Linked DNA regions of Caenorhabditis elegans. The protein of the gene in region 1 purifies or fractionates together with the protein of each later gene. This does not show direct contact. Each region holds a gene or a part of one and is shown in the gene's direction. Other genes may lie near its edges.

The links. Proteins that work in one complex are often made in the same cells at the same time.
Region 2: the proteins of tsfm-1 (region 1) and tufm-1 purify together in Caenorhabditis elegans (co-purification; one study listed by BioGRID). This does not show direct contact.

The regions. Positions count from the first base shown.
Region 1 is NC_003283.11:12,268,987-12,273,989, reverse strand, and holds tsfm-1 (Elongation factor Ts, mitochondrial), read left to right. Parts: upstream 1-2,438; 5' UTR 2,439-2,440; coding exon 2,441-2,524; intron 2,525-2,582; coding exon 2,583-2,728; intron 2,729-2,809; coding exon 2,810-3,237; intron 3,238-3,283; coding exon 3,284-3,576; 3' UTR 3,577-3,719; downstream 3,720-5,003. Other genes in the region: capg-2 (CAP-G condensin subunit), read right to left, coding at 1-37, 82-546, 620-1,001, 1,045-1,755, 1,802-2,106; twk-24 (Potassium channel domain-containing protein), read left to right, coding at 4,680-4,808. UniProt on the Caenorhabditis elegans protein: Associates with the EF-Tu.GDP complex and induces the exchange of GDP to GTP. It remains bound to the aminoacyl-tRNA.EF-Tu.GTP complex up to the GTP hydrolysis stage on the ribosome.
Region 2 is NC_003281.10:2,811,643-2,817,294, reverse strand, and holds tufm-1 (Elongation factor Tu, mitochondrial), read left to right. Parts: upstream 1-2,325; 5' UTR 2,326-2,358; coding exon 2,359-2,401; intron 2,402-2,509; coding exon 2,510-2,683; intron 2,684-2,815; coding exon 2,816-3,806; intron 3,807-4,690; coding exon 4,691-4,973; 3' UTR 4,974-5,152; downstream 5,153-5,652.

The DNA.
Region 1 (5,003 bases):
GCCTAATTTCAATTCCTTCTCGAATTAGATCAATTTTCTAAATATAATATTATTGTTTCAATAATGAACTAATACACAAACCTTCAACAAATCCAAGACTTTAGTTCGGTATTCATCTTTCATTGCAATAAGATTTGATGTACTGTGACTCTGTAGCAAATATTTGAGACGGTTCAACGTCATAATCAGTACATCTTCTGGATCCTCCAATTCACGTCGTTTCTTCTTACTCTGTTTCGTTCCATACAAATTTACAAGAACATTAAGCCCACTATCGAATGAATCAAAAACAGAATCCGGGTTGAAATGAATTGCAGATTCAAGAAACGGCTCAACTGCTTCTGGAGGAACATCGTCGTCTTCCAGTCTTGCGAGAACATCATTAGCAATTGATTTAAGGTAATCTTTAGGAATGACACTGCTGATTGCTGTCGCAGTTCCGAGAATAGGAGTGTTGGCGTATTTTTCAAATATTTCCTTGACAACTTTTCCAAATATTTGATCACATTTCGCTTTTGAAGTTCCATCGCCATCTGACATCAGCATCTGAAAAAGTTTAGAAGTTTATAATGTTTTAAAAAAGGTCTTCAATTTTAAATTTGAGAAATAGAAAACTAACTCCTTTGCATGACATGTACAGAATGAGAGCACACTCAAGATAAGCTCTCGCTTTTTTGTATCCTTCGGCAGTCTCTGGTAATGGAGGGCCATCCTTTTTACGAAGATAACGATATGCCCAGGTTATAAACATTTCGATAAGTTTGGATGCTTGGGATGCATCAATGATTTTCATTGGGCCAAGCAATCGGAAGTAACTCAAAAGAGCCAATCGACTTTTTCCTAACATGTAGTTGACACGAGGACGATAGTATGCTTCATCCAGACTTTTCGAGATAGGAAGACAAATATGCATAATTGGAATCAGTTGACGGCGGCAGGTCTCTACGTTTTCCAGATCGAGTTTCGCAATGGCATCATCTCGAGTAATGATATCGAACACACTGAAAATTTATTTTTTAGTTTGTTGATTTGGGTTCATTTTACCTAATAAATTTATGATTCTTCAGACGAGAAATTATTTGGTAAGCAGCAAGACGAACTCGTTCAGATTTATCCTGTAGTGCTGGATCAACGGCACATTTCAATCCATATTCGAATGCTGTGAGACATGCCGGAACAAATGCCATTTCATTAAGACCTTCAAAAACGGCGACGCGGACGCTGACAACAGTGTCTTTCGCGACTGTATCAATGATGTATCCCATGAGTTCCTTCACGATATTTTTTGGAATAAGAAGCCAGAATTCGCTGATTGCCTTCAAGACATGTTTCGTGGCTTCGCTTCGAATGGAAATAACATCACTACGTAATAAGTCCATCATATATCGATGTTGGTTTTCCATTATCCTATCCATGTCTTCAGTATCCTCGCCAATTAGTGGGTAAAAATTGAAAAATACTTCTGCAGCTGATGACTGTACAATGTAATTTGGAGCGTCCAGCGCTCGGTAAAGACATCCATTGAGAAGCCTTGTCACCATTTCATCTACACTTTTGTCCAGTTTTTTCGCGTGTGCAAATGCGGCAATCACATTTTGAAATTTAGTGCAGGTAGGCCTGTGAGCATATAATGCATGCTGACACATGACACTGATCACATCGGTCTCCAATTCCTCTGTCAAATCAAAGTTAGCCTCCTGATATGCATTTCTCCAAGCTGTGACGAATACTTCACCATACCTTTGACATTCAGTGCTGCAAAAATATATATAAATGGAATTCTTCAGCGTATAAACTTTACTCGGTGAGATTGAACTTTAGTATTAACTTCTCGAGTAGTATCAGTCCATTTCCAACACCAATTTTTGGGAGAATTTCAGCTGATAATTTTATACCTTCCGGACAAATCAACAAGGCTGGTGCGAAGAAAATACACCGAAGAGTCGATGGATTTGCATTGGCAATAATATCTTCTTGAACTGCCCACAATTTTCTGATGAATGTTTTCTGAAGAGCCCGACCTCCTTTTCCACGGAACTCTGTGAGTAACTCATTCCAGTCTTCTGATGGTTGTTTGTTAGGTGTTACCGGATTGCTCTTCGGCATTGATCTCTTTACTGAAAATTTCTATGGAATTATAGAATTTATTTCAACAAAAAAATAGCAAAAAATAATAGTATTAAAGTTTTCACCTAAAAATAATTATAAATAATCAATAAAATAATTCAATAATATAATTTACCTCGCAATTAAAAAAAAAGAAACACATTTTCCTTGTTATGTTCAAAACGAATTCTTTCGCGCGGCCGTCTTTCTCATTGGGGCGCACTTGCCTTTTCATTTTTTAATGCAAAAAATGCCCAGAAAATTGCATAATTTGCTTTATTCTCTTAAAATAATTATCAATATTGACTGAAAACTAAAGTTTCCAATTTTAGAAATGTTTGCTAGAGCTCCATTTGTACGTCTACTATCAACGACTAGTCGAAACTTGGCTGAGGCCGAAAAGAAAGTCTCTAAAGAGGTATTAAAATCTAGGAACCCTAATTAATTTTAAAAAATAAAAAATAATTGTTTTTCAGGCTCTAATGGCTCTTCGAAAAAAGACTGGTTATAGTTATGTGAATTGTCGTAAAGCACTTATTCAGTTTGGCGAAAATGATATGGATAGTGCTGTAAAATGGTTGAAAGAAGCTGCAGCGAAGGAAGGATGGGCCAAAGCGGCAAAGTAAGTGTTTATTTTGAAATTTTTTTAATTTGGAATGTTGACTTCACAAGGAATTATTTTAATAGTTATAGAATATTCCAGACTTGGAACTCGTGTAACATCGAATGGTCTTGTATCTGTAGTCACGGACAACTCAACAGCAGCTGTGGTAGAACTCAGTTGTGAAACTGATTTTGTGGCGCGATCTGGAGCTTTCAAGGATTTGTTGTCAAACATCTCCAACTCTGTTCTCGCAAAAGCTAAGCCACAATCTATATCGAGCGGCTCAAAACTTCAAGAATTCACCTATGATCTTGGGGATCTGACCGATTCCGACGGAAAAAATATGCGTGAAGTGCTCTCCCTTTCAATCGGAAAGCTTGGTGAGAACATGACAGTGAGAAGAGTTAAGGCTTTTAAAGCTCCCGAAGGAACAACTTTGTTTGGAGCTTCACATCCTAAAGATGGAACTGATGATATCCCGATGGGACGGTTCATTTCACTCATCGCTCTAAATCAATCGAGTCCAGGTGAAACAAAGAAATAAAGTAAAAAATTAAGTCTTAACATTTACAGGGTCAATCAGTAGTCAGCAACTTGCCGGACAGATATGCCAGCACATTATCGGAATGTCCCCGGAATCCCTCGGCGAAGCTGCAGAATCTGTGAAAACTCAAGAAGGGCTTCGTAGTCAAGAAGGGCATGATCCAAATGCTGATCCAGTTGTTGTAACTAATATTGATGAATCGGAAACTGCTCTTCTCCGCCAAGCCTTCATGTTGAATCCATCTCAATCTGTTCATGAGTACCTAAAATCCCACAATGCTAACATTCTCGATTTTGTTCGTGTAGAGCTTGGAAGCGAATAATTAGATAAAAGTGGTAGTAACTTTATTTTCATGCCTTATTAGTTTTTAGAATGCTTTTGTTTCTCTGTTTTGTTAATCGATAAATAAATTTATCGACATATAAATTGAATTTAAAGTTTAAAAAATAAACATTTGCAATTTTCAGAACATTCCTCCGTGGAAAACAATTGAACAAGAAGACGATTAAAATGCATTTATTTTATTTCAGAAATTCATGGTCACTCGGATTTCTGTCGAAATCAAATGTATTTTAAGGTCACAATCCGCGAAAATTTAAAACAATTGTTGTAATATAGTAAAAATACGAGAAAACTGCTGAGAACACTCAGAAAACATATATATTTTTGGGGTACTGTATTGGTACTGTAGGAGTAATTGGTGATGTAGGTGTACTGTAGTATCACTGAGCTCTTTGTTGAAACATGCGATATTGTTCTAAATTGTATCGTTCTTAGATTTGGCAATTTATCAAGACAATCTGAAACAAATATTGTTGCTGAGTCTGTTACTCTTGTTCCAAAACTGAAGGGACTATCTTGGTCATTATCATCAAGTTAGACGGTTTCAGTTCCATTGACATGGCAAAAAATACGAAAGATCACCGAACATTCCTCATAGTTTTATATTCCAGATGTTCCCATTTCTCAAGTTCTCATACCACATTCCAAAGGAACACAACTCAACAAACCCCAATCTTTCTTCTTCGGTTTTCTTCTCAAGCTTCCTCATTTCTCATCGTCATTTTTCCTTTTCATCATCAAATGTGTATCAAGACGTGACGCCTATGTGCTCTCTTTGAGAGAGCACCGCTGTTGTAAAGGTAGAAGTAAAAGAATACACAAAGAGAATATCATGCGTTTTGCGTTTTCTGCTGTTTTTTTTTCGCCCGTGTCTTTCTCTCCTGCTCCTGTGGGATTCTTTGGGAAATTCACACTCTTCTCAAGATAGAGAAAAGATAATGATAAGAGCATTCTTTTCCATCTCTCTGTGATCCAATTGTTTTTTGTTTCTCTAGAGTTCATTGATTTTTATGTTATTACCACTTCCTTATCATCAACTTATCACCTACTTATCCTCTCATTGTTTTTGTTTCAGAAGGTGATATGAATGGAACCACAAAGAAAGATGATAAAATTGTTGCTGGAAGGAGCAAAAGTGCAGATAGTAAATGGAAAGATCGAATGAATCGAGGTCTTGGAAACATGTCTAAAAGTTTACCCAGTTTTAATAAGGTACTTACATCATCTAGGAAACTTACTGTAAGATGTGCATTTAAGTTCTTTAGAGCTCAATAAGTTTTTGTACTCACTTATAATAGTTTTGGAAATTGACCAAAAATAAATTCTTTTTAATTTTATAATTTACTAAAATAGTTTAATTTATTTTGTTTCAATATGGAATGTAGGGTTTTATTATGCAAGAAAGCT
Region 2 (5,652 bases), on another chromosome or scaffold:
AATCAGGTAGTCTCAGCATTTAAGCATCATATGTATCATGTTTCAGAAAAAGTTTAGGTTTTGTATTCCCGTAATCCATCATATTACAATGCCCACTTTCACCGCTGCTTGCCGGCTGATAACATAATTTTTTTACTTGGAAATTGTTTTAGCATCTGCAAAAAATATTTATTTATCAGTTTTATTAAGAAAAAACGAAAAAAATAAGTGAAAAACGAAAGAAGACAAACGGAAAACAAAGCAAGATAAATGGCCGCTGAAACTTGTCGGCCCCTCGGCCATGGCCTAGAAACCACTTTTCCTCGTCCCTCGTGAGGAAAAAGTTGCAGTGAAATCGCGAAAATTGGGGAAAAAATGAATTTTCTGCTAATTTTTGTGTATGTTCAAATTTTTATTTCAGTTAAAAATTGATTTTCCTTCAAATTTCAGCTCGAATTTCCAGATTTTTCATATTATCAACTAATCAAAAACTAAACAAAACTTTGGAAAAAGTAGAAAATTTGTTTATATTTGAAAAATATTGGAGAATACTCAAAAGGGGGTCACACTATTGCACGAGGATGGTGATAGATTGGAGGGAGAGGGGAGACGCAGACAGTCAGAGGTAGTTGTCAGCAGAAAAGGAACACAAACAGATGATCTATTGAAATGGAAGGAAGAGGCAGCAGGATTAATCGATTTTTTATTTGAAAATTGACACAAAAATGCCTGCGCGCCTACGTAGGCGACCTACGCGCCTGCTTCCTGCCTACAGAGGGTCTTAGCACGATCACAACTGTATCAGTTAGTAATTTAAAATAGTCTCTAATTCCGGAGAAACAATTAAAAAACGGAACTAAAATTTCAAATTTTAAACTTGAGATTTTTGAATTTCGGCTAAATTCGAACTGTGACCAATCAGCGAATCGCTCCGCCCACTTTCCAACCAATCATAGAAAGTGGGCGGAGTTCGAATTTAGCAGAAATTAAAAAATCCCGATTTTTTGGTTTTTTTTGTAGTTTTTTTCCGAATTTCAAACTATTTTGGGACTTTTTTTTTCCAGAAAACCACAAAAATCCCCAAAAACCCGAATACAATGGTCATTTAAATTGAGCAAATCAGTGTTTGAGCCCATGTTTTCACAGCTGGAGCACACAAATTGTGTCGAAAATGAGCTGGAGATGATTGAAAATGTGCAAAATCCGGAATTTTCAACAAAAATTTGGTTCAAATCGGTCAAAAAATGAATGATTTTCAGTGAAATTCTGTTAAAAACTCGGGAAATCGATTGAAAATCCCAAATTTCATAGAAAAATGAGTCTTCACGGCTTGAAAATAAAACTTTCTAATGGAAAAAGGCTTCAAATCCTAACAATTTTTTAGAAAATGTGAAAATCTCAGGGATTTTCGGTGAATTATCATAGAAATACCCGATTTTTAGGCCCATTTTCGAGAAAAAGTGAGAAAAATGCAGAAAATTCCGATTTTTTGCCTCAAAAATGCGAGAAAATTGCGAAATTCGTCGGTTTTTCATTGATTTTCGTATTGCTGGCCGCAAACAATTGTGAATGGGAACGGTTTTTGTTCGTTTTTCACTGAAAAGTAGCCAAAAAATATTGTAATATTGGAAAAAAGCGCTGTAAAACAATTGGAAGATTAGAAATTGATGAAATTTGAATTTCGCGCGCACTTTTGCGCTGAAAAAAACGCATTTTCGGTCGGAAAATCTTGAAAATCCGGTTTTTCGCCAAAAATTCGATAAAACCAGTTGATTTTCAACATTTCGTTGCTTTTTCTTACAATTAGCCGGGCAAAAAAGCGTTATCAGCGGCTTTATCATCGTATTTTACACGAATCTCGCGTTTCTTATCAGAAAACCTTGTCCTCTCGCGGCCCCCCGCAAATTCTTCGATTTTTGGGAGTTTTTCCGTGGTTTCAATGACTTTTTCTGCTATTTACATAGAATTTGGGCTATTTTCGATGAATATCAGTGAAAAATCGATTAAAAATCATATGAAAATGCTAAAAATCGATGCGGAAATGGAAAAAAAAACCGCGGAAGAAATAAACAAACCGATGATTTCGCGGGGTACGGTCGACAAGCATCAAGTGGTGTTTTGTGTGCAATTTGTCGTAGGATTCGGTGTTGTGTTCGTCCGAAATTGCGGACTTTTTGCATCATTTAATTTTCTTTTTTTTTCTTTTTTTCCCTGAAAAACCTTCAATTTCATTGATTTTTTCTAATTTTTTTGATAAAATTGAATTAAAAATCGATTATCCGTGTGTTCTGCCACTTTTCGCTGCAAAATCACTAGAAAATCTCTAAAAAAATCACCTGTTTTTAGGGAAACTACAGATTTGGGCCTCTTGCCGGAAACATGCAGATTTTGAATCTTCTCAGCCGAAATGTCGGTGTTTTCAGTGAGTTTGAATTTAGAAATCGAGTAAATTTTCCTCTGCAAAATACATTTTTGCCATATAAATACGAAAAAAATAGTTGTTTTTTTTTCGTAAAATTCGAGTTTTCAGAGACCGTCACACTATGCGAGCAAAAAATGCAGCAAGTATCGTTGATGCAGGCTCGTCACCTGGCTGTTCCAGGAGGAAAAGCCGTTTTCAAGAGAGATAAGCCACATTTGAATGTGGGAACCATCGGGCACGTCGATCACGGAAAGACTACGCTCACCTCGGCAATTACAAAGAGTACGGGTTGAATTTCTTTGAAAATACGACGTTTTCCACCGGTTTTATCTAGCAAAATCCATTAAAAAATCTAAATTTTCAGAAAATTGTGACTTATTTCACCTTTATCCTCCAAAAAACTTCAATTTTCAGTCCTCGCCACATCAAAAGGAGCCAAATACCGTAAATACGAAGATATCGACAATGCGCCAGAAGAAAAGGCCCGTGGTATCACCATCAACGCTTTCCACTTGGAATATGAGACTGCCAAACGCCATTACGCTCATATCGATTGCCCCGGACACGCTGATTACATCAAGAATATGATCACGGGTGCCGCACAAATGGAGGGAGCAATTCTCGTCGTAGCAGCCACCGATGGACCAATGCCACAGACAAGAGAGCATTTACTGTTGGCTCGTCAAGTCGGAGTTCCACTTGACAATATCGTAGTATTCATGAACAAAGTCGACGAGGTTCCCGACGCAGAAACCCGTGAACTCGTAGAAATGGACATTCGCGAGCAGCTCAACGAGTTTGGATATCCAGGAGACACATGTCCGGTTATCTTTGGATCGGCTCTCTGTGCTCTTGAAGGAAAACAGCCAGAAATTGGAGAAGAAGCCGTCAAGCAGCTCCTTGAAGTTCTCGATAACAAATTTGTGATCCCAGAGAGAAAAGTGAACGAGGAGCCAATGTTTGCAGCGGAGCACGTTTACTCGATCGTCGGGCGTGGAACAGTTATCACTGGAAAGCTTGAGAGAGGAATTTTGAAGAGAGGAGATAAGATTGAAATTGTTGGAGGAACAAAAGATGGAACCACTGTGAAATCAGTAATCTCTGGATTAGAATCCTTCCGTAAAACTGTCGATCAAGCCGAGCCTGGAGATCAATTGGGTGTGCTTCTTCGTGGTTTAGGACCAAAAGATGTTCGTAGAGGATGTGTTTTACTTCCACAAGGACACAAACATAAGGTCACTGATAAGGTTAAAGCTCAACTTTATGTGCTCAAAGAGAGCGAAGGAGGCGCCAAGACACCGATTGCCAACTATTTCAGTGAGCACGTCTTCTCATTGACATGGGACAGTGGAGCAAGTGTCAGAATTATTGGAAAAGACTTTGTGATGCCTGGAGAATCTGCGGAGTAAGGGATTTTGCTGGACCAAAAATTAGCCGATTTTCAGCACAGAAACTCTGAAAAATTAAGAAAATCTGGTTTTCTGTCGAAAATTCATGTTTTTCGAGCAGAAATCATCACAAATATACTTTTTAAGTTCCAAAAATCATAGTTGTTACAAAAATTGAATTACCTGTCTGAAAATTTTAGAAATCGAATTTAAAAATGAATTTTCAAAAGAAATAGTTTTATTGGAGAAGTGATCTTTCTGCGGATTAAAAGAGACGAAAAAAGTTATATAAAAAATTTTCAGCGAAAAAAAATCACTATAAATTCTTAATTTCTCGTATTTTTTATTTAAATACGATCTTGAATCTTTTAATTTTGAAAATCGAAATTTCTCCAATAGATCCGATTTCTAAAATATTTTGACAGAAAATTCAATATTTCCAGTCAATTTTCGTGACAACTAGGATTTTTAATTCTAAAATTCGCGATTTGCGATTTGTGAGGTAATTGATGCTTTCTACTCGAAAAAATGACACTTTTTGGCAGAAAAATCACATTTTCCACCAATTTTTGTGTTGTGAATCAGGCTACTTTTGTAGATTTTTCTCTTGAAAATCGGAAAAAAAAACCGGAAAACGAGCTTAAAATCGTACTTATAAGAATTTTGGCTACTAAAATTATTTCTTTAATTTAAAAATGACTAAAAATCAACTTTTGTGGCCATATTGCTATGGTAGAATTGTTATTTGACAATTGTTCTTCAAAAAAAAAAGAGAGCCTACTGAAATTTAAGATTTTTGTTAAATATTTTCCGAAAAATTGAAAAAACAAAAAGTTTCAAAATTTCATTGAAAAATTGTTTTTTCCCTTGAAACTAATCAAAAATTCAATTTTTCTTTCAGAGTCGAGCTCTCACTGAATTCCCAAATGTTCATCGAGCCCCAACAAAGATTCACAATTCGTAAAGGAGCCAAAACAATTGGAACCGGTGTGTTCACCGACGTTCTTCCACCACTAACCAACGACGAAAAGGACCCGAAATCGAAGAAAAAGCTGATGAAAGCTGAAATGGAACGATTGGGATTCAATCCATACGGAGATATGGTCGAAAAACGTTTGAAACCAGATTTTTCCAATTCTCCAAAGGACAATCCGGCTGCGAAGGCTTTCGAGGGACAACCATAAATTTTTCGCATTTTTTCCTGAAAATTTTGAAGAATTTTGTGCTTAAAAATCCATGTTTCCCTCCCCTCCTCATGATCTTTATAGTTATTTTTTCCTTTTTTTAGTTGTAGATTTGAGATTCATTGTTCATATCCCATTTTTTGTTAATTTAATATTTCTCTGTTGAATTTTTTTTACTTTTTCGTTGTAGAAATCAAACTTTTCTGCAATTTGAAGCATTTTTCCGAGAAAAACCACAAAATTTCATTAAAATTGGCAAAAAAACTTTTGAAATTTTTGAATCGAAATATCAATTTTTTCCTGGAAAATCTGATTTTTGCTCAAAATTGTATTGAAATTGAAAAAAGGTTTCTATTTTTTCCAAAAAAAAACCGGAAAAGGGAATTTTCATGAAAAATTGTGAAATTAAAAAAAATTACATTTAAAGAAATTTGCAGAAAATTTACTGAATTTTTTTTTTGAAAAACTCAATTTTTGAAAATTATTTAATTATATTTCCTGAAAAATCAAAAACATTTCTTTTTTGCTGAAAATTTTTTAAAATACCGCGTTTCACATTTATTAGAACCATCAAAAAACGAAAAAAAACCGCTAACAATATCCCATTTCTAGCAGCCTCGGGATTGGCCGAATATGTTAATAAAACAGCAAAAAAAAAGGAAACTTTGACGAAAAAAAA